Lonchura striata: one gene and its partner. The protein of the gene in region 2 binds, or shares a complex with, the protein of the main gene of each other region. Links are inferred from orthologs where the notes say so. Each region holds a gene or a part of one and is shown on either strand. Other genes may lie near its edges.

What was found. The genes of interacting proteins can lie anywhere in the genome.
Region 1: the proteins of CMKLR1 (region 2) and RARRES2 are in contact, whole or in part, in a cryo-EM structure (PDB 8ZJG), measured with the Homo sapiens proteins. The link is inferred for Lonchura striata from reciprocal best matches to the Homo sapiens genes CMKLR1 and RARRES2. Residues at the interface, in NP_001135815.1 of Homo sapiens: Asp20, Tyr21, Leu22, Asp23, Ser24, Ile25, Val26, Val27, Leu28, Phe88, Leu92, His95, Tyr103, His104, Asn116, Leu119, Ile120, Met123, Arg178, Leu183, His184, Gly185, Lys186, Ser188, Cys189, Phe190, Asn191, Trp203, Thr205, His217; in NP_002880.1 of Homo sapiens: Leu34, Phe37, His38, Phe60, Thr75, Ser76, Cys77, Arg96, Leu111, Gly112, Arg113, Leu114, Val115, His116, Cys117, Pro118, Ile119, Thr133, Leu136, Arg137, Gln139, Arg140, His146, Ser147, Phe148, Tyr149, Phe150, Pro151, Gly152, Gln153.

Annotation. Positions count from the first base shown.
Region 1 is NC_134603.1:156,738,169-156,747,976, reverse strand, and holds RARRES2 (retinoic acid receptor responder protein 2), read left to right. Parts: upstream 1-6,160; 5' UTR 6,161-6,210; coding exon 6,211-6,411; intron 6,412-7,336; coding exon 7,337-7,438; intron 7,439-8,065; coding exon 8,066-8,170; intron 8,171-8,237; coding exon 8,238-8,351; intron 8,352-8,441; 3' UTR 8,442-8,584; downstream 8,585-9,808. Other genes in the region: uncharacterized protein LOC116183190, read right to left, coding at 1-1,562, 2,091-2,204, 2,460-2,568, 2,889-2,915. UniProt on the Homo sapiens protein: Adipocyte-secreted protein (adipokine) that regulates adipogenesis, metabolism and inflammation through activation of the chemokine-like receptor 1 (CMKLR1). Also acts as a ligand for CMKLR2.
Region 2 is NC_134620.1:11,454,354-11,463,869, reverse strand, and holds the start of CMKLR1 (chemerin-like receptor 1), read right to left. Parts: upstream 4,166-9,516; 5' UTR 3,930-4,165; intron 2,638-3,929; exon of another isoform or gene 2,417-2,637; intron 1,268-2,416; exon of another isoform or gene 1,115-1,267; intron 1-1,114. UniProt on the Homo sapiens protein: Receptor for the chemoattractant adipokine chemerin/RARRES2 and for the omega-3 fatty acid derived molecule resolvin E1.

The DNA of each region.
Region 1 (9,808 bases), on a different chromosome or scaffold from region 2:
CTTCTGGTTGAAGCGGCGGCCGCAGACGCCGCAGGTGAAGGGCCGCTCACCTGTGTGGATGCGCTGGTGGGTGGCCAGGTTGGTTTTGAGGCTGAAGCGCTTGCCGCAGGTGTCGCAGCGGAAGGGGCCGCGCCCGCCGGCGCCGTGCCCGTGCCGCGGCGGCCGCTCGCACTGCGCCAGGCCCCGCCCGCACTCGGGGCACGGCCAGGGCCGGCCCTCGCCCGCCCGCGCCGGGGGGGACCCGGGGGGCTGCTCGGCGCCCGGCTCCGCGGGGGGAGCGCCGGGGCACGGCTTGTGCCCCGCGTGGCTCTTCTGGTGGGCGACGAGGGCGAGCCAGAGCCCGAAGCTGTTCCCGCACTGGTTGCAGATGAAGGGCTTTTCCGGGGAGAGCACGGCTTCCGCCGGCCCCGGCTGCGCCCCCAGGGGCCCCAGCACGGGCGGGCCGGGGGCAAAGGGCGCGGCGGGCGCCTCGGGGGGCCGCAGCAGGGGCACCTTGGGGCAGAAGCCGTCGCCGCAGTGGGCGCAGGGGAAGGGGGGCTCACCCGGGGCCGGGGGGGGGAAGCCCTTCTCGGGGCACGGGAACAGCTCGGCGCCCTCGGGGAGCTTCGGGGCGGGCGGGAGCGGGGCAAACGGGGCGGGGTCCTGCGGGGCGGGCGCGGGGGGCAGCAGGGCGGGCGCGGCCCCGAAGGGCGCGGCGGGGGCCGGGCCGCGCGCGGGGCAGCGGCGCTGGCGGGGGATGTGCGTCTTCTGGTGGGCCTTGAGGGAAACCTTGTCCTTGAAGCACTTGTGGCACTGGGCGCAGGGGAAGGGGCGCAGGTCGGTGTGGGTGCTCTGGTGCGTGACCAGGTTGGTTTTCTGGGTGAAGCGCTTGCCGCACTGGGCGCAGGCGAAGGGCCGCTCACCTGTGTGCACCCGGTAGTGCGTCACCAGGTTGGTTTTCTGGTTGAAGCTGCGGCCGCACAGGAAGCAGGAGAAGGGCCGCTCGCCCGTGTGGATGCGCCGGTGCGTGATGAGGTTGGGCTTCTGCCGGAAGCTCTTCCCGCACTCGGGGCACACGAAGGGCGCGTCCTCGGGGCAGCCCCGCGCCGGCGCCCGCGCCCGCGCCTTGCCCTCCTCGGGGTGGGCGCCGTGGATGCGCTGGTGCGCCAGCAGGTTGGCTTTCTGCGAGAAGCTCTTGCCGCACTGGGCGCAGGGGAAGGGCCGCTCGCCCGTGTGCACGCGCCGGTGCGTCAGCAGGTTGGGCCGCTGGCTGAAGCTCTTGCCGCAGTCCCCGCAGCGGAACGGCTTCTCCCCGGTGTGGATGCGCTCGTGCGTCACCAGGCTCTGCTTCTGCCGGAAGCCCTTCCCGCACTGGCCGCAGCGGAAGGGGCCGGGGACGCCCCCCTGGGCCCCCCAGCAGCCGGCACGGGGGGCAGGGGGGTCCCGGGGGGGCTCGGGGCCGCGCTGCCCGCCGGGGAACCAGCGGCCGGAGCTGCCGCCCGCGGCCGGAAACAGCTCCAGGGAGCCGGCGCCAATCCCGGGCTTCTCCTCGGGTTCCACCTTGCTCACCCGCCCGGGCTCCACTGCACCGGAGAGATGCCGGTGTTATCCCGGCTCCCGGAGCACCCCAGGCTGTCCCGAGTGGGGAGGACCCGGGCCCAGCCGCCCCTTTCCTCGTGGGCCCCTCGCTCCTGAACCACGGGGACCTGGGACACCCCAAAGGGCCTCAGGTCCCCAAGCCTCTCCTGGCGCGTGACACTCCAAACCCTCCAGTTTGCGACACCCAGGTCCAAAATGGTCAAAATTGGCTCAGAATGGCAAAAACTAGTCTAAAATGGCCAAAAGTGGTTCTCAAAAGTAGCCCACAATAGCCACAAACTGGCTCAGAATTGCCATAAGCTGGTCATAAATGGCTGCGAGCTGGCACAGGAGGGCCCCAAAATGGCTGAAAACTGTCCCAAAATGGCTGAAAAAGGCCTTTAAACTGGTCCTAAGTGGCTCAGAACAGTCCCCAACTGGCTTCAAAAAGTTCTAAACTGGCTCAGGATGCCCCAGAAGGATCCCAGCCCATGTTCCCCCCGAGCCCCCCAGTCCCACGGATCTGGGCTCACCAGCGCAGGGGCTGCCCAGGGCCTTGGACTCCTCCGGGCCCGTCCGCGCGGCTCCGAACGGCTCCTCCGGCGGCTTCATCCCGAACAAACCCCCCGGCTTAAAGAAGCGGTACCCTGGGGGGACACGGGCACCGCCGTCGGCACCACTGGAGCACCGGGACTGCTCCCGGGAGAGCCGGGCTCGCCCCTCGAGAACCTGGCTCCAGGTGAGCCGGGACGAGGTGAGCCCCTCCTGGGCTCCCGCTTCTCCCCGCAGCCTCTCCCATCCCCGGGAATCCCCAGAACGCTTTCATCGTCCCAGTTCAAAGTCCCCACAAAAATGCACCGGGCTCTGTGCGGAGGATTCCAGCCCAGGGCGTCCCCCCTCACCTGTGCAGGGATCCGAGGGGATCTCGGCTCCGACGGCATCCAGCTGGGACCCGGCCCGCGGCGCCGGGCTCAGCCGGGAGTACGGCAGCAGATCCAGGGCGTGGGCGGGCTGGGGAGGGGGCAGCGGCTCAGAGGCGTTTTGGGGCCATTTGGGTCATTTTGGGAGGTCTGAGGACCTTTCCCTGGGTTTGGCCACAGGCCAAGGACAGGGATCATGCCCCTATTCCTCCACCCCAAATAGGAGATTCCTTGCTCCAGGATGGAACCCACTTCCCTGCTCCCCAAACCAGACCCCTGCTCCCCCAAATCACAACCCCACCCCCCCAAAACCAAATCACTGCTTCCCCAGCAGATCCCTGCTCCCCAAACAAGATCCTTGTTCCCCCAAAACAGATGCCCCACCCTGCTCCTCCAGACCGGACCCCTGACCCCCAAACCGGGTCCCTGCCCCCCCATGCCCACTGCCCACCCCCCAAACCAGCTCCTTGCCCGGCCAGGACCCGCACGAGGGAGGAACCTTTCCCGAAGAGCCAGTCCCGCTTTTCCGGGGACGCTGAACCCCCCAAGTCCCCCGTGCCCTCCCGCGTCCCTCCCGTGTCCCCAAACCCCGGGAGCCCGGCGGCGGCAGAACCGGGGGGTGCGGCCCCCCCGCGCCGCGGGACTTCCCGGTGCGCGGATTTCCCGGAAAAACTCTTGGGGGGCTCCAGGGGCCGAGGAAAAAACCATCGGAACCGGCCGCGGGGATCCCCCCGGGATCCCCCCACGCCCCGGGGCTGGCGGAGCGGGGCAGCCCCGGAGCTCCCCCGGGATCCCCGCGTACCTGGGGCGCTCCCCCCGCCGACATCGCCGCCCCGGGCCGCTCCCGGCTCCCCGGGCGCTCCTTCCCCGCCGCTCCCCGGCTCTTCCCGGCCGCTGCCCGGCCTCGGCCTGGTCTCCTTCCGCCTCCGAGTCCCTCAAATGGCCGCGGCGGGTCCTGGGAGAGCGGGAGAGCCGCGATGTGAGCGGGAGGGGACCGGGCCGGGAGGGCAGCGGGACCGGGCCGGGAGCGGCTCCGGCGGCCTCGGACCCCCGTCCTCCCCCGCCTCCCCCCGGAATTTGGGGTGCGGAAGGCGCCGAGCGGGGCCGGATCCGGCTGGGAACGGCGAGAGCTGGGGAGCGCTGGGAGTTGTAGTTCGGATGGGGCTGGGATGGGATGGGATGGGATGGGATGGGATGGGATGGGATGGGATGGGATGGGATGGGATGGGATGGGATGGGATGGGATGGGATGGGATGGGATGGGATGGGATGGGATGGGATGGGATGGGGCTGTAGATGGGATGGGGTGGATTCGATGGGATGGATTTGATGGGATGGATTTGATGGGATGGATTTGATGGGATGGATTCCATGGGAGCGAGCGGGAGCAGGAAATCGCCCCGGCACGGCATCAGCCCGTCCAGCCGGGAACGGCCCCGGGTGTCGGGAACAGCCCCGGCAGTTGGGAAAAGCCCCAGAATTTGGGAATAGCCCCGCTAGCAGGGAATAGCCCGGGAATTCGGGAATAGCCCCACGAGCTGGGAATAGCCCCGGAATTTGGGAATAGCCCCAGAATTTGGGAATAGCCCCGGTACAGCAGCACCTGGAGAACCGGGAATAGACCCGGGAGTTGGGAACAGCCCCAGGAGCTGGGAATAGCCCCGGGAGCCGGGAATAACCCCAGGATTTGGGAATAGTCCCGGTACAGGAGCGCCTGGAGAACCGGGCATAACCCCGGGAGCCGAAAACAGCCCCAGGAGCTGGGAATAGCCCCGGGAGCCGGGAATAGCCCCAGGATTTGGGAATAGCCCCGGTACAACAGCACCTGGAGAACCGGGAATAGCCCCGGGAGCCAGGAACAGTCCTGGAGTTTGGAATAGCCCCGGGAGCCGGGAACAGCCCCGGCACAGCCCCGCCTTGGAGGTCAGGAATAGCCCTGGGGCTCGGGAGGAGCCCTGGCGTGGAATCACCTCATCAGCCGGGAACGGCCCCGGGAGCCGGGAACAGCCCCGGGGCCACCGGGCCGGGCTCCCCCGGCGCTCGGGGATCCCGGCGCTCGGGAGCCCGGCTGTCCCCGGTGCCGGCCGTGCCGCCCCGGGGGGTTCGCGGTGAGCCCCGTGCGCCCCAGCACCGGCTCCTGCGGAAGCCCCGGACCCGCCGCCGCCACGGGGGTTCCCCCCTGGAGACTCCGACAGTTCCTGAGACCCCCCGGTCCCCCGGTCCCCCCGGTCCCCCGGCCACGTGCCCGCGCCCCGGGACCCTCCCGGGGAAACTCACGGGCGGCCGCTGCCCGGGCTCGGTGACGTCACGCGCGCGGTGACGTCACGCGCGCGGTGACGTCACGCGCGCGGTGACGTCACGGTGTCAGCCCGGCCCCGTCCGGCCGCGCCCCGTTCCGGGTCGGGGGGCGGGGCCCGGGCAGCGCCCCCTGGCGGCGCCGCGGGACAGCGCAGGCGCGAGGGGGTGGGAGGGGCCGGAGAGACCCCGCCCACCCAGCGTCCCCCAGTGTGCCTTGGTGCCCCCAGTACAGCCCCAGTGTCCTCCAGTGTTCCCACAGTGCTCCCCAGTGTCCCCCCAGTACAGCCCCAGTGCCCCCCAGTGTTCCTTGGTGTCCCCCAGTACAGCCCCAGTGCCCCCCAGTGTTCCTTGGTGTCCCCCAGTACAGCCCCAGTGTCCCCCCAGTGTGCCTTGGTGTCCCCCAGTACAGCCCCAGTGCCCTCCAGTGTTCCTTGGTGTCCCCCAGTACAGCCCCAGTGTCCCACAGTGTCCCCCAATACAGCCCCAGTGTCCCCCAGTGTTCCCAGTGCTCCCCAGTGTTCCCACAGTGCTCCCCAGTGTCCCCCCAGTACAGCCCCAGTGTCCCCCCAGTACAGCCCCAGTGCCCCCCTATGTCCCCCAGTACATCCCCAGTGCCCCACCGTGTCCCCCCAGTGTCCCCCAGTACAGCCCCAGTGCTCCCCAGTGTCCCGCTCCGGAGCGCATCCCGGGGAGCAGAGGTGATTCCCGGCTGTTCCGGGGGACCGGAGCCGTTCCCGGGGACCGGAGCCGTTCCCGGGGACCGGAGCCATTCCCGGGGATCGGAGCCATTCCCGGGGACTGCAGCCCGTTCCCGGGGATCTGAGCCCATTCCCGGGGGTCTGAGCCCATTCCCGGGGATTGCAGCCCGTTCCCGGGGATCTGAGCCCATTCCCGGGCTGTTCCCGGGGATTGCAGCCCGTTCCCGGGGACAGGAGCCCATTCCCGGGCTGTTCCCGGAGGATTGCAGCCCGTTCCCGGGGATCTGAGCCCATTCCCGGGGATTGCAGCCCGTTCCCGAGGACAGGAGCCCATTCCCGGGCTGTTCCCGGGGAACTGCAGCCCGTTCCCGGGGGTCTGAGCCCATTCCCGGGGAACTGCAGCCCGTTCCCGGGGGTCTGAGCCCATTCCCGGAGGATTGCAGCCCGTTCCCGGGGATCTGAGCCCATTCCCGGGCTGTTCCCGGGGAACTGCAGCCCGTTCCCGGGCCCGGCGCCGTTCGGGCTGCAGGGAGCTCCCGGTGCAGGTCTGCATTCCCGCAGCCCGTGACGCCGTTCCCGGGGTCTCTCCCGATCCCACGCCGGCCCCTCCTCCCGCGCCCCGCGGGGTGGGGGGGTCACCCGCGGGGCCGTCCCGGGGGCGGATTTGGGGGCAGATCCCAGGAAATGGGCTCGTGCCAGCCCGCGGCCCGCGGATCCGTGAGGCCGCTCCCGGCGGGATGAGGCTCCCGGTGTCCCTGTGGCTGCCGCTGGCCCTGGCGGCGGCGGCGGCGGCGGCGGCGGCGGCGGCGGCGGCGGCGGCGGCGGGGCAGTCCCCGCTCCAGCGGCGCGTGGTGCGGGACGTGCTGGAATATTTCCACGGGCGCAGCAACGTGCATTTCCTCTTCAAGGAGCGGGAGGTGGACGGGGTCACCGAGCGGGTGAGGGACGGCATTCGGCACCGGGAGCCGCCGCTCGGGCTCCGGGATGGCCACGGGAACGGGGCTCGGGCAGGGGCTGCGGTCCCGGGAGCGTGCGGAGGAAGGGGAGCAGCACTGGGATTGGCGTCGGGATCTCGGATTTGGGGCTCCGATGGCCGCGAGAACAGCGAGGGGTCAGGGTGGGTGTCCCGGAGGGAGCAGGGGAGCGGCGGGATTCGGGATTGGGGTTCGGGGTTCAGGAGCCGGGATGACCATGGCACTGGGGAGGGTGTTGGGGTGTCCCCGAAGGAACAGAGAGAGGGCTGGGAGGGGATTGGGGTGTCCCAGAGGCAATGGGAGATGGACAGGATCGTCGAGCAGGTGTGTTGGGATTTGGGATTTGGGGTTCAGGACTGGGATGCGGGATGGCCACAGGGATGGGGAGGGGGTCGGGTGTCCCAAAGGGAAGCGGCGGGTGCTGGGGTGTCCCGGGGTGCTCTGGGACCGGCCCTGCTGGCCGGGCTGAGCTCGGTTATTCATTAACAGATCCGAGCTGATCCCGGTGCCCCCAGAGCCGGGTCCACCCCGGGGTGCCCCTGGAAATGTCCCGGTCTGGGAAGGGCCAGGACTCCAGGGACCCCACTTGGGGCCACGTGCCCGTCCTGGAGCCACCCTGGGGTCATTCCTGGCAGGGATTTACCTGAGGCTTTCCAGGATTCAGGATCCCTCCCAGAGTTCAGGGTCCCTCCTGGGATTTGGGGTTCCTATGGGAGTTTTGGGGTCCTTCTCAGGGGCTGGCATCCGTGGGGTTCAGGGTCTCCCCCAGGATTTGGGGTTGCTCTCAGGGTGCTTGGGTCACTCCTGGGGTTCGGGGTCTCACCGGGGGCTGCATTCCCTGGGAATCTGGGGTTTGGGGGTCACTCTGGAGGTTGGGATCCCTCCGCAGGAGGATCCTTCGGGGACGTTCGTGCAGCTCCGCCTGGGCCTGGCACAGACGAGCTGCCGCAAGCGAGCGCCGCAGCGGCACTGCCGGGTGCTGGAGAACCGGGTGAGGGGCTGGGCACAGGGCTGGGTGCCCCTCCTCCCCTGGGCACAGGGCTGGGTGCCCCTCCTCCCCTGGGCACAGTCTGGGCTGTCCCTCTTCCCCTGGGCACAGGGCTGGGTATCCCTCCTCCCCTGGGGCACATGGGGTGTCCCTCCTCCCCTGGGGCACGTGGGGGGTGTCCCTTTTCCCTTGGGGCAACATCCCAGGGTGTTCCCATCTCCCTTGGGCACATCCTGGAGTGTTGTCCCCTCCCTCAGGACACTTTCCAAGCTGTCCCTCTCCCTTGGGCCACATCCCCACTCCCTTGGGGCCTATCCTGGAGTGTCCCCTTTCCATTGGGGCACATCCTGGGGTGTCCCCCCTCCCTTGGGGCACATCCTGGGGTGTCCCCTCTCCCTTGGGGCACACCCTATTCCCTCTATAGGGCCTCATCCCTGAATGTCCCCCATCCCTTGGGCTGATCCCTGGGTGTCCCCTCTCCCTTGGGCCCCATCCCAGGGGTCCCTCAGCCCCCCACAGACCCCCCGTCCCCCCACCACGCTGCTGAGGGTGCCAGGGTGGGCAGAGGGGACGGCGGTCAGTGCCAGAGGGTCCCCGGGGCTCCCGGGGGTGACACACACCGTGTCCCAGAGGAAGCCCACCTGCCTGGCCTGCTACAAGTTCGACACCAGCGATGTCCCCAAGGTGCTGGACAAGTACCACAACTGCGGCCCCAGCCACCACCTGGCGGTCAAGGTGAGTGCCCCCGGTGTCCCCGTGTCCCCCAGCATCCCACCGGTGCCAGCCCCTGCTGTGCCCGCAGGAGATCCGGCAGCGGGACGAGGCCGAGTGCCGGGCGGTGGAGGAGGCCGGCAGAGGGGTGGACGCGCCCTACCTGCCCGGAATGTTCGCCTTCTCCCGGGGGCTGCCAGCCTAGGTGGGTACGGGACAGCCCTGGGGACAGCCCGGGGTGGGGACGGGGACACGGGGATGCCAGCACGGCCGCCGCTCCTCGTCCCCTTTGCAGGCGCCCCGGCACCGACGGACGCTGCCACGGCGCTCCCGGCCTGCCCCGCTTGCCACCCCCAGCCCCGTGGGACCACGGAGGGTCCCGGACGTGTCCCCCGCTCCCGCCTGGCCCCGCTGCCCAGTAAACAGCGCTGCCTCCGCTCTCACGGCTCTGATTCCCGCCCGCGCCAGCCCCTGCTGTCCCCAGGGATGGGGGACACGGTGGGGGGGTGGCTCCCTGTCACCACCGCCTGTGTCACCTCTTGTCCTTCCCCGGGTGGGGAAAGACAGGAACGCGACGGGCTGAGCAGTGCGAGACCCCTGAGGCCGCAGGACAGAGGGACACTGGCGGGTGGGACACGTTTAATGCACAGAGGGACACTGGAGGGTGGGACACATTTAAGGACAGAGGGACACTGGAGGGTGGGACACGTTTAATGCACAGTGCCACCACGGCCCTGTCCCCGTGATGTCCCAAAGCCGAGGCCGGGTCCCCACGGCTCCTCTGGTGCTCCCTGGGGATCCCACGCTGGGCTGGGCTGGCTCTGGGGGTACCCTGGCTGCAGTCTGGGGGTCCCACAGCTCAGAGCAGGAAGGAGACAGGCTTCTGGTGGCTCTGGGGGTCTCACGGTGACAGTGTGGGCTCTGGGGGCTTTCCTGGATCCATTTCTGGGCCGGCATGGCTAAGAGAATGAAGTTGGGCAGGGGTGGCACTGAGGGGCTCCTAGACCTGATTTTGGGGTCTCACAGTTCAGAAGATGAAGGAGCTGGACTTGAGATGGCTCTGGGGGTATCTCAGCCTTGGTTTTGTGGTCCCACAGGCTGTGGTGGCTCTGGGGGCTCTCCATTCTCCATTTTCAGGGTCCCGTGGCTCATATGACAGTGGCTTTGGGCTGTGGTGGCTCTGGACGTTCTCCATTCCCGGTTTTCAGGGTCCTGTAGCTCAGATGATGGTGGCTTTGGGCTGGGTGGCTCGGGGGTTCTCCATTCCACATTTTCAGGGTTCTGTAGCTCAGATGAGGGTGGCTTTGGGCTGGGTGGCTCTGGGGGCTCTCCATTCCCCATTTTCAGGGTCCCATGGCTCAGATGAGGGTGGCTTTGGGCTGGGTGGCTCTGGGGGTTCTCCATTCCCCATTTTCAGGGTCCTGTGGCTCAGATGAGGGTGGCTTTGGGCTGGGTGGCTCTGGGGACTCTCCATTCCCTGTTTTCAGGGTTCTGTGGCTCAGATGAGGGTGGCTTTGGGCTGGGTGGCTCTGGGGGTTCTCCATTCCCCATTTTCAGGGTCCCGTGGCTCAGATGAGGGTGGCTTTGGGCTGGGTGGCTCTGGGGGTTCTCCATTCCCCGTTTTCAGGGTTCTATGACTCAGATGAGGGTGGCTTTGGGCTG
Region 2 (9,516 bases):
GCCCTTGGGTCGGTGCTTGTCCCCCCCTAAAAAATCCTTGTCCCCGGACAGAACAGCCAAAGCCCCGGGAACAGTCGGGTCCGTGCCCGCCCTGCTGCCGCCTCCTCCCCGGCAGCTGCTCAGCCTTTCCTTCCTTGGAGCACTTCCCTCTCCTCTTCCCACCGGCGGTTTCCGAGCTCCCAGCGCACCCCAAAGCCCAGCCCCGCTTCCTCCGGGCGTGGGAGGCGCGGGCAGCTCCGGCACAGCTTCCCGGGAGAGGGGCAGCTGCCGGCAGATGTTTGGGAAAGGCTCGGGGTAAAACAGGACCTCCACGTCCCTCTGGAGCTGCTGGCACCAGACCCCACCCTGCCTCAATCCCCGGTGTCCCTGGGGATGTCCCTGGGGGCAGGTGGCAGGCGCTGGTCCCTGTTCCGTGGGGGTTCACAGCTCCGGATGAGCTCGAGCCCCACCCTGCGATCCCGAGCATCCCTAAAAATCCATGGCATCTCATGCCCCAGGGAAGGAGGATGCAAACCCCATCCCAAGCTGGCACACCCGAGGCCACCCCATGGATCCCTCTGCCACCCACGTGTTTCTGGCACACAGCAGGGACATCCCTGCAGGGATCCAGCTCCCAGGAATCTCAGGGAGCGAGGCAAAGCAGCTCTGGGTACCCAGCTCCAATCCCCCTTTGTTTTGGCAGGTGATTGCCATGGCGACAGATGCCACAGGGATGAGGCTGCTCAGCATCCCACTCCCACCCGGGACAGCCGGGATGGAGCCCCATTCCTCGCTGTAAATCCACCACCAGCCCATCGAGGGGGAGTTCAGATCTCCAACCCCCAAACTCCAACCGTGCCCAAAAGCTGCTCCTGGCTGATTCCAGCCCTGCCACCACCCCTGACCCCTGTGCCCCGCTGCAGCAGGCTGGGAAGGGCACAGGGATGTGGGATGCCACGGGAGCAGCAGCGGCAGGCTGAGAATGAGCTCCTGCCAGCGAGGATCCCGGGCTGGAAATTCTCCCAAACCTCCCCCAGCACCTGGAGACCCCCAGGGCAAAAAGATGAGGCACAGCCACGGGGGAAACTGAGGCACAGAGCTCTGCTCCAAGAGCAGTGGGAAACTTAATCCCTACCTGCATCCACTCAGGCACATCCCAGTTCTGCATCACGGATCCGGGACCCCCACACCCGGCAGCCTCCGGCATCCCCAGCCTCTCCCTGCACCCCATCCGTGTGAACGGCGCAGGAAAAAGGGAATAGCTGGAAAAGGCAGCCTTAAAAAAGCTGCTGTGCCCAGGGTGGGACAGAAAAACATGAGTCAGTGTTTATCTGGGCAGAGCCGGCCGGGCTGAGCGGGTCAGGTCGGGATAGGATGGGATGGATCCCACGGATCCTCCCGGCCACAGTGTGGGGTCACCCCCATGGGGGAAAGCGCTCCAGTCCTGCCAGGAAAAGGGGTTTAATCTCAAAATTTGGGTTAGGAAAGACCCCTCCCAGGGTGAAACTCCAGCAGAGGAACCCGGCCTTCCCTAGCACCAAGTGTTGAAAGAGCCACGCTGTTCGTAAAATCCCGGCCTTTTGCTCCATCCATTCTGCTCTTGGAAAGGTTCGAGGATTAAAGGGGGAAAATTCGGGTGTTTTCACCTACACAGGCAAAGATTTCCTTGAAAAAGGGCAGTCTGTACTTCTGAGCTTCTTAAAATGACTCAACTTCCAAGATAATAAAAGTTCTTTCATCTCCTCTGCTCTCTTCTAATAATCCAAGGTTTTCTCCTGGCACTTCTCAGGCAATAAAAAGACAAAAAAAACCTCCCTTTTCCAGAGCATCCTCCCTGCTACACCCCAGCAGTGCAGTGATGCCGTCCCTCACCACGGCTTGGGCTTTGTCAGGGGACAAAACCTTGGGGACGTCACTCTGCATTTGGGGCGCACAAAGGGACAGAAACCCAAGCAAACGGAAATAGGGCTGCGGGGGGGACGTGACCCCGCAGGGGATGTGGCACAGCAGGGGACAGCAGGCTCAGTCACCCCGGATCCGTGGGAGCATCCTCCCAGCTGTGCTCCGTGTCCCCAGCTGAATGCTGATCAGCACGGCAAAGAAAAGCCACCCTGTTCTCCCTGTCCCCAGCAAGGGGACACTGCCACACTGTCAGGACATCAACCCCCCCAAATTCTCTGCCAGCTCCTCTCCCTTCCGTGCTGTTTTGCCACCCCCCAGGCTGCAAAGCCCAGCTCCAAAAGAGGCTGGGGTTGTAGGGAAAATTAGGGGCTTTGTGGTGAAGGACAGTGGGGATCCCAGAGATCCCAAACCCACTGTAGAACAACAAGGGAGCAAAAAAAAACTCAAGTGGTTGCAAATCTCCAGCAAACCCTTCCTCCCAAATCCCTACAAAACATATAAATTAACGAATATATGTAAATCCAGGGGTGTTTACCTGAGCTGGATAAATCCCCAAGGAATTTTCAGCATTCAGAAGCTGGATTAGACATCTCTGCTTCTCCTCCAGCCCCGTTAGGGCTGGCATGGGAATGACCCCGGGCTTGTGGCTTTGGCATCCAGCTGGAGCTGACACGGATATTGCCGAGCTGTCTCATCCCGAGGAGAAGCACATGGGATGGGAGGATGAGGAAAATAAAGGCAGCCCGTGGAACAAACCAGCTGCTGGCCTCAGCAGAGCTGGAAGGGGAAGGGGGAAGCTCTGGGGGAGGATGTTGAATCTGCGGAGTTTAGCCGGACACAGAAGGGGATGTGGCAGCGGTGACATGTCCCGTCCACCACGGCTCCTGTGCTGCCCACAGTGGCTTGGGAATCTCCTGGGAGCCTTTGGGAAAGGTTTGGGTATCCCTCATTGTGAGCACAGCCAAAGGGTCCCCTCGGCTGCCTTTCATCCCTGCTCCCCAGGCACCCCAAATCCATGCTGGGATGCTCCTGGCTCACACCCGCAGGAGACGGGGAACCCAAAGCCATTCCTGGGGTGCAGGGAAGAAGAGAAGCTGCTCACGAGTCCTGTCCATTCCCAGCTGTTCATCCCATGTGAGGACATCAGCCTGGCCTGGTTTGTACCCCCAAAGAGAGCGTCCCCAGCCAAGGGCTGTCCCTCACCACCCTGACCTCAACCCTGTGCCAGCCAGGAGCTGCAAATCACCAGTGGCATCCACGGTGCAGGACCAAATCCCTGCCCTGAGCCAGGACATCTGAGCCAGAGGGAGATGCAAAACAGCTGGAGCAAAAGCTGCACCGTGCTGTGAAAGAGCATCACCTTCCACCAGAGCTCCCACCTGCTCTCCCTCAACGAGATCCATGAGTTATCCAGCTCTTGGCTTCTGCCACGCACAGGGAATAAATCCCAGTTCCCTCAGAGCTGGAAAAGCCCCACCCAGGTGTGACCAGGGGACAGGGGGTGATGCCCGCAGGGAGTGGTGGCAGGTGGGAGGGAGCTAAAGGCCACCACGTCCCGTGACGTGGGGACATTGACCCCGTCCTACGTGGAGGAGCTCCCGTGAGAGCCGAAAAAGAGGAATCGGAGGCGCTGCCGCCTTTGCACAACTCTGTGTCGCAACTCTGTGTCCCTGAGCTGAATCAGGGCTAGAAAAATGCTGATGTGCCGGTTCCTGGGGCTGCTGCGGGGAAAGGAGAAGCCCCAGAAAGCCGTGGAGAAGTGGGCAGGGATGTGCCAATCCCCTGTGGAGCCAGGCTGGGGACTCGTGACCGGCTCCCCGGTGTCCCTGTGTGCCAGGAGCCCCGCGATATTCCACACTGGTGGCACATCCCCAGCGGGGTGCAGAGGAGCGGTGTGCCAGGAGAGTGGGAAACGCCGCCCAAAATGATAAAACCCATGAGAAGAACGGATGGGGAGTGGCACGGCCTGGATCTGCCCCATCGCTCTGCCACCTCGTCCTGCGCCATCTGCTCCCGCAGTGTCCCCCCACCGAGTGACCTGTCCGTACCTCGCACGGTGCCAACGCTGTCCCGCTGCTCCGTGCCGGGCGGGACGGGCTCGGGGTGCCCGGGGTGCCGGCAGGATCCCATTCCCAGGCGGATCCCGGCGTGCCGGGACACACACAGGCACGGTGCCGCTCCCCGCCGCTTTTAAGGCAGCGGGGAGGGAGTTGCGTCCATCACCAAGGTTTTCTTGGCAGCGCGATGCTCGGCGAGCAACAGCTGGGAGAGGGTGTGACGCCGGGAGCTGGGAACGCTGGCCTGGATCACAAGCCAGCGTGAGGAAGCAACAAACGCTTCCCGAGGGGCCTCCTTTCCTGTGCCGCCCCCCGGGCCGGAGCGCACCGTCCCACGGAGGGATAACGGAGCCCGGAGCGCTCCGCGGGGATGCTGCTCCAGCCCGGAGCCCAAGGGGAGGCAGGTGGCTGCCAGCCCCCGCCGCGGTGCTGTCCCCAGCCTGGGGCAGCCGCTGTCCTCTGCTCCCCACACCGCCCCCAAATCCTTCCAAGACGTTGAGTCACTTCCCTTCAGGCAAATCTGGCTCCCAAACGCCGTTCCTGCTGCTCAGGGGCTGCTTTTCCCGATGGATTTCATTACCACCAGGATGCTGCAGATGCTTCCAGGCAGCCCCCCCAGCCCGCAGAGGCTCAGTGGTGGCAGCTCTGTCACCCTTTAACACCTGCAAGAAAAGTTCTTCGGGGGCCACGGAGGGGCTGGGAGAAGCTCCAGAGTCCCCTGGGGAGGAGGGATGGGAAAGGCTGGATGCAGGGATGGGATTCAGGGGGACAAACAAGAGGATTTTGGGGCAGCCCCCCAGACTGGGAGCACTGAGCAGCGCAGCCTCCACCCACACAGAGCAGGAGGTTTGGATAACCCCAGGCTGGATGTGGCACCGGGAAAATTCCTTCCCTCCCCACGCAGCTCCCGCGCTCCCAAGCCTCAACCACACTAGTCCCAGCACCCATGCCAGTCCCAGCATCCATCCCAGTCCCAGCACCCATGCCAGTCCCAGCACCCATCCCAGTCCCAGCACCCATGCCAGTCCCAGCACCCATCCCAGTCCCAGCACCCATCCCAGTCCCAGCATCCATCCCAGTCCCAGCATCCATCCCAGTCCCAGCATCCATCCCAGTCCCAGCATCCATCCCAATCCCGGCACCCATCCCAGTCCCAGCACCCATCCCAGTCCCAGAATCCATCCCAATCCCGGCACCCATCCCAGTCCCAGCACCCATCCCAGTCCCAGCATCCATCCCAGTCCCAGCACCCATCCCAGTCCCAGCATCCATCCCAGTCCCAGCATCCATCCCAATCCCAGCATCCATCCCAGTCCCAGCATCCATCCCAGTCCCAGCATCCATCCCAATCCCAGCATCCATCCCAGTCCCAGCACCCATCCCAATCCCAGCACCCATCCCAATCCCAGCACCCATCCCAGTCCCAGCACCCATCCCAATCCCAGCACCCATCCCAATCCCAGCACCCATCCCAATCCCAGCATCCATCCCAGTCCCAGCACCCATCCCAGTCCCAGCACCCATCCCAGCGGGATAAGAGCCAGTGCAGGGCTTGGGAGCAAAGGCAGCACAAGGAAACACAAGAACTTTTGGCACTGGTGCCCCCTCACCCTCCTCCAGCCTGGAAAAGGAGCAGGATTTTCCCCCACTGGGACACCCCAAAATCACCGCCCTGAGTTTGCCACCAGACATTCCAACCCTCTGCCCAGCAGAAAGGAAGTTCATCTACCACAGGATACTAATTAAGGCTAATTAATTATCCTCAGCTGTAAAGACAGGGGCAAAAAACATCCTGAATCCAGCCAGCAAGGGAGAAAATCCATTGCGAACTGATGGGATTTCCTTTTGTGTGTCTGGAGTTAAACGGTGCCACCAAGAGATGCTCAGCCCAGGCAGCTCTGGGTGGCACCAGCCGGGACCTGGTGGGAGTTTTTGGACTTCCCAAAACCACCCCAGGGCCTGCTGGGGCTGGGAATGCTCAGCTATGGATGCTCCTGCACGTGGCCTTGCCAAGGCCTGACCCCGGGACATCGAGCAATGACCGAAATCCCGGCAGCTCCGGGGGATGACCTGGCTCAATCCCGGTGATCCCAGCAAGGCCGAGCTCTGCAGCCCCCCAAAACCAACCCCCCAGGCACCCGGCACTGCCCAGGCCCGGCAGGATGCAGGATGCTGCTCTCACCCTGACCCCTGCGTTTAGCAGGGTGAAAGGTGCTGACTCGGGATAGGATTTCCCATCCCGAGCGTTTGCGGGTTGGGTTTTTTTCCCTCCAGGGCGCTCAGCAAAGCCCTGCGGGGAAGGAGAAATCCCCGCTCCCGCTCCCGGGGCTGCCGCTGGGGCAGGATCCGCACGGGAGCAGCGCCGGGAGCGGCAATTCCAGGCGCCGCGGCCGCGCAGCCTTTGGCAGCTGTCATGTCCTTCCTTGGCAAGCGCCGAGTGCCACCCACACCGAGCAAAGCAATTAAAGCTCTACATTGATTCGGGCTAATTAAACGCCCTGGAGCAGCTCCCTGCCGAGCCGGGATGCGCGGATGGGGTCGGGATGCGCGGGTGGGACCGGGATGAGCGGATGGGGTCGGGATGCGCGGATGGGGTCGGGATGTGCGGGTGGAGCCGGATTGTGCGGATGGAATGCGATGCGCGGGTGGAGCCGGGATACGCGGATGGAGCCGGGATGCGCGGATGGGACCGGGATACACGGCCGGAGCCCGGCAGGTCCGACCCCTCCAGCTCTCGCCCTTCTTCCCTCCCACACAGGCGCTGGGAACCCGCCTGATTCATCCCGAAACAGATGTCGCAGTCAGTGGGGAAGAAGCTGGAGGAAGTTTTCCCTCTCCAGGGGAGCTTTCTCCGGCACCCAGCAGCACTTTCCCTCGCCCCGGGCAGAGCCGTGGGGATAAATGGCTGGGAAAGGAGCTGGGCTCAGCTACGAGGACAAGACGGGAGGATCCCGCTGCGTATCCCAGCTCCCAGTGCCGGGCTTTAGAGCTGGGTTTATGCCCAGGGACAAGCCTGCCCTGCCTTTCCCGCAGGGAGCTCATCTCATCCCTGGCTCCACACCCGCCGCGCTCCGACCTCCGCATCCCGTCACTGCCTCCCGATCCAAGCGCGAACTCCCTGCCCAAAGAAAGAAGCCACAGACAGGATGTCCAAGAGACGGCTCCCGTTCCCTTTTTTCGCTGATTTGATACAACCGCGGCAAAAAAAAACAAAACAACACCAAAAACCCCAGTCCCAACCTTGTGCAACTCGAGCTTATAAATAGCCCCAGAAACACGGCGGGGCTGGGACCAAACCCCGCTGTGCTCCCGGGGCTGGCACCATATCCCTGATCCCACCCCTGGGATGGGCAGCTCAGGGATCTCCACACCCCCAGATACCCTCGCAGAGCCTCTGTTTGCCTCCAGTCTCGGATCATTCCCCCCAATTTTCCACGTGCTTCCCTCAGAGCTGTGCCAGGGGACAATTCCGAGGTCTCGGCTCCCAAAGCCCACCCTTGGCAGAGGAGGATTGATGGGAACATTCCCGGGACACGGCTGGGCCCTGTTCCATGGATTCCTCATCTGTGGCATCAGCCACCCCCTCCCATCCCCATCCTGCTCCCCAGGAGTGATGGAAGTGCCACTTCAGGAGATTTCTCCATGATTTCCAATTCCTGCTGGAGCAGGGATGAGGAATTGCCAGGCATGGACACTCTGTTGTTGCCTTGGAGCCCCTGAGCAGGTGACAGACAGGATGTCACCTGCCCAGGGATTTACGAGCAGAGGTGGCATCGAATCCTGGAGTGGCTGGGTTTGGAAAAACCTTAAACTCATCCCATTCCATTACCTGCCACGGACAGGGACATCTTCCACAGACCAGGCTGCTCCAAGTCCCATCCAACCTGGCCTTGGAATAAGAAATTCCATTTAAAAAATAAGAGATTCTATTAAAATGCCTAAAGGGCTCCAGGTCTGGATGCTGCACATCCCACTGGAAAATGGGAGATGCTGACAGGATTCAATTCCTTGTGCTGGGAACTGCTGGAGCCAAATTCAGGCTCATCTTTCACCCTGAACTCCTTCAGCATCATCCTAAAGTCCTCTGGATGTGCTTTTCCTGCTGCTGGTGTGCCGAGTGAAGACACCAAACGTGGATAGAGGGGAGCATTCCTGAAATCTCCCAGCAATAAAATCAGTGGGATCTGCCTGATAAAACCCCTCAGGAAACTCCCAATCCTTTAAGGCACCAGCTGGATTTGTCTTAATAACAATAGATTCCTTCAAATTCCCAAACATCCATAAGGAAACCTGCCTCATTTATGGTTTTTTTAATTAATAAACCCAGTTTTCCTTGCAATCAACATCTGGGAACTCAGCATTCCATGGAGCAGAGCCTTGCTGGGACATGTATTTTTGAAGCTGACTTTTCCAATGGCCCCATCCTGCTTCCCATCACTGGGATGGGCCCAGGAACTGCCCAGCTCCGGGTGGGAAGGTTCAAATTTCTGCCAGCTCTGAGCAATCCATGCCTTTTTTGGGGTTTTCTTGGCTGTGGGGGGGTGGCCTTGGTGCAGGTTCCCTAGGCTCCAATTGCCCTGGAATTTGTAAAAATAACAGCAAAATACGTTTTATTCCTGAGCCTTTGCCAGGCTGGGATTGTTTCTGAAATGAGGGAGTTGCTTGGTGGTGCCAGGGAGATGTGGGGGTACCTGGACCCTCATTGGGGTTGCCCACAGCATCTTCCCTGAATGGATCTGGATCATTGATCCCAATAATCCAGAGCTCAGCCCCGTGCTGGATACAAGCCTTTCCCACACAGGAGCCCAGTCCCAAAATCCAGCTGTTGTCTCAGAATTAGTTAAACAGATCCAGAAATGTAGGGATCCATCCAGAGGGGGCTGTTGATGGAAGCCAGATTCACTAACACGAATGAATTCCTGATTTTTATTCCATAAAAAGTGCAGAGGGAATCTCTGATATCCATGGCCTGGAGTGGACGCAGAAAATCCCCAGAACTGCTCCCAGCTGATGGAGAATGGAGCTCCCAGAAGGATTCAGACATTGGGAATACCTTAGAAATCAATAGGGATAAATTGAAAATTCAGGCAGGACTTCACATAATTCACACACACTCCCTTAAAACTTATTGGGGGAAAAACAGGTTGGGAAAAAGGAATTTGGGATACTCTGGATGTGGCTTCCCTGGCACATCTGGCTGGGGAGAGGATGTCCAAGGAATTAATTCTGTGTGGAAATCACTGGAGTGTCAGGAGAGCTCTGATTGATCCTTGGCATTCCAGTGCAGGAATTAATTCTGGCCATGGAATTCCAGCTGCTTCCAACGCCAGCAGAAGCTGCCTTCAAGGAGCCATAATCCCCAAGGGAATTAAAACTAAAAACTGATTAAAATGAAAGCATTTCCCTGGATATCCCACCTGGAATTTGGATGCCCTGGGGGTATCCCTCACCCTCACCCTGGCACATCCCAACCCAGCAAATCCCTGGCACAGCTGCAAAAAATTCCCCCTGTGGAAAACAGGGAGCTAATGGGATTTAGGGGAGGAGGAATGAGAGGCTGGATGTAAGCAGACCCAAT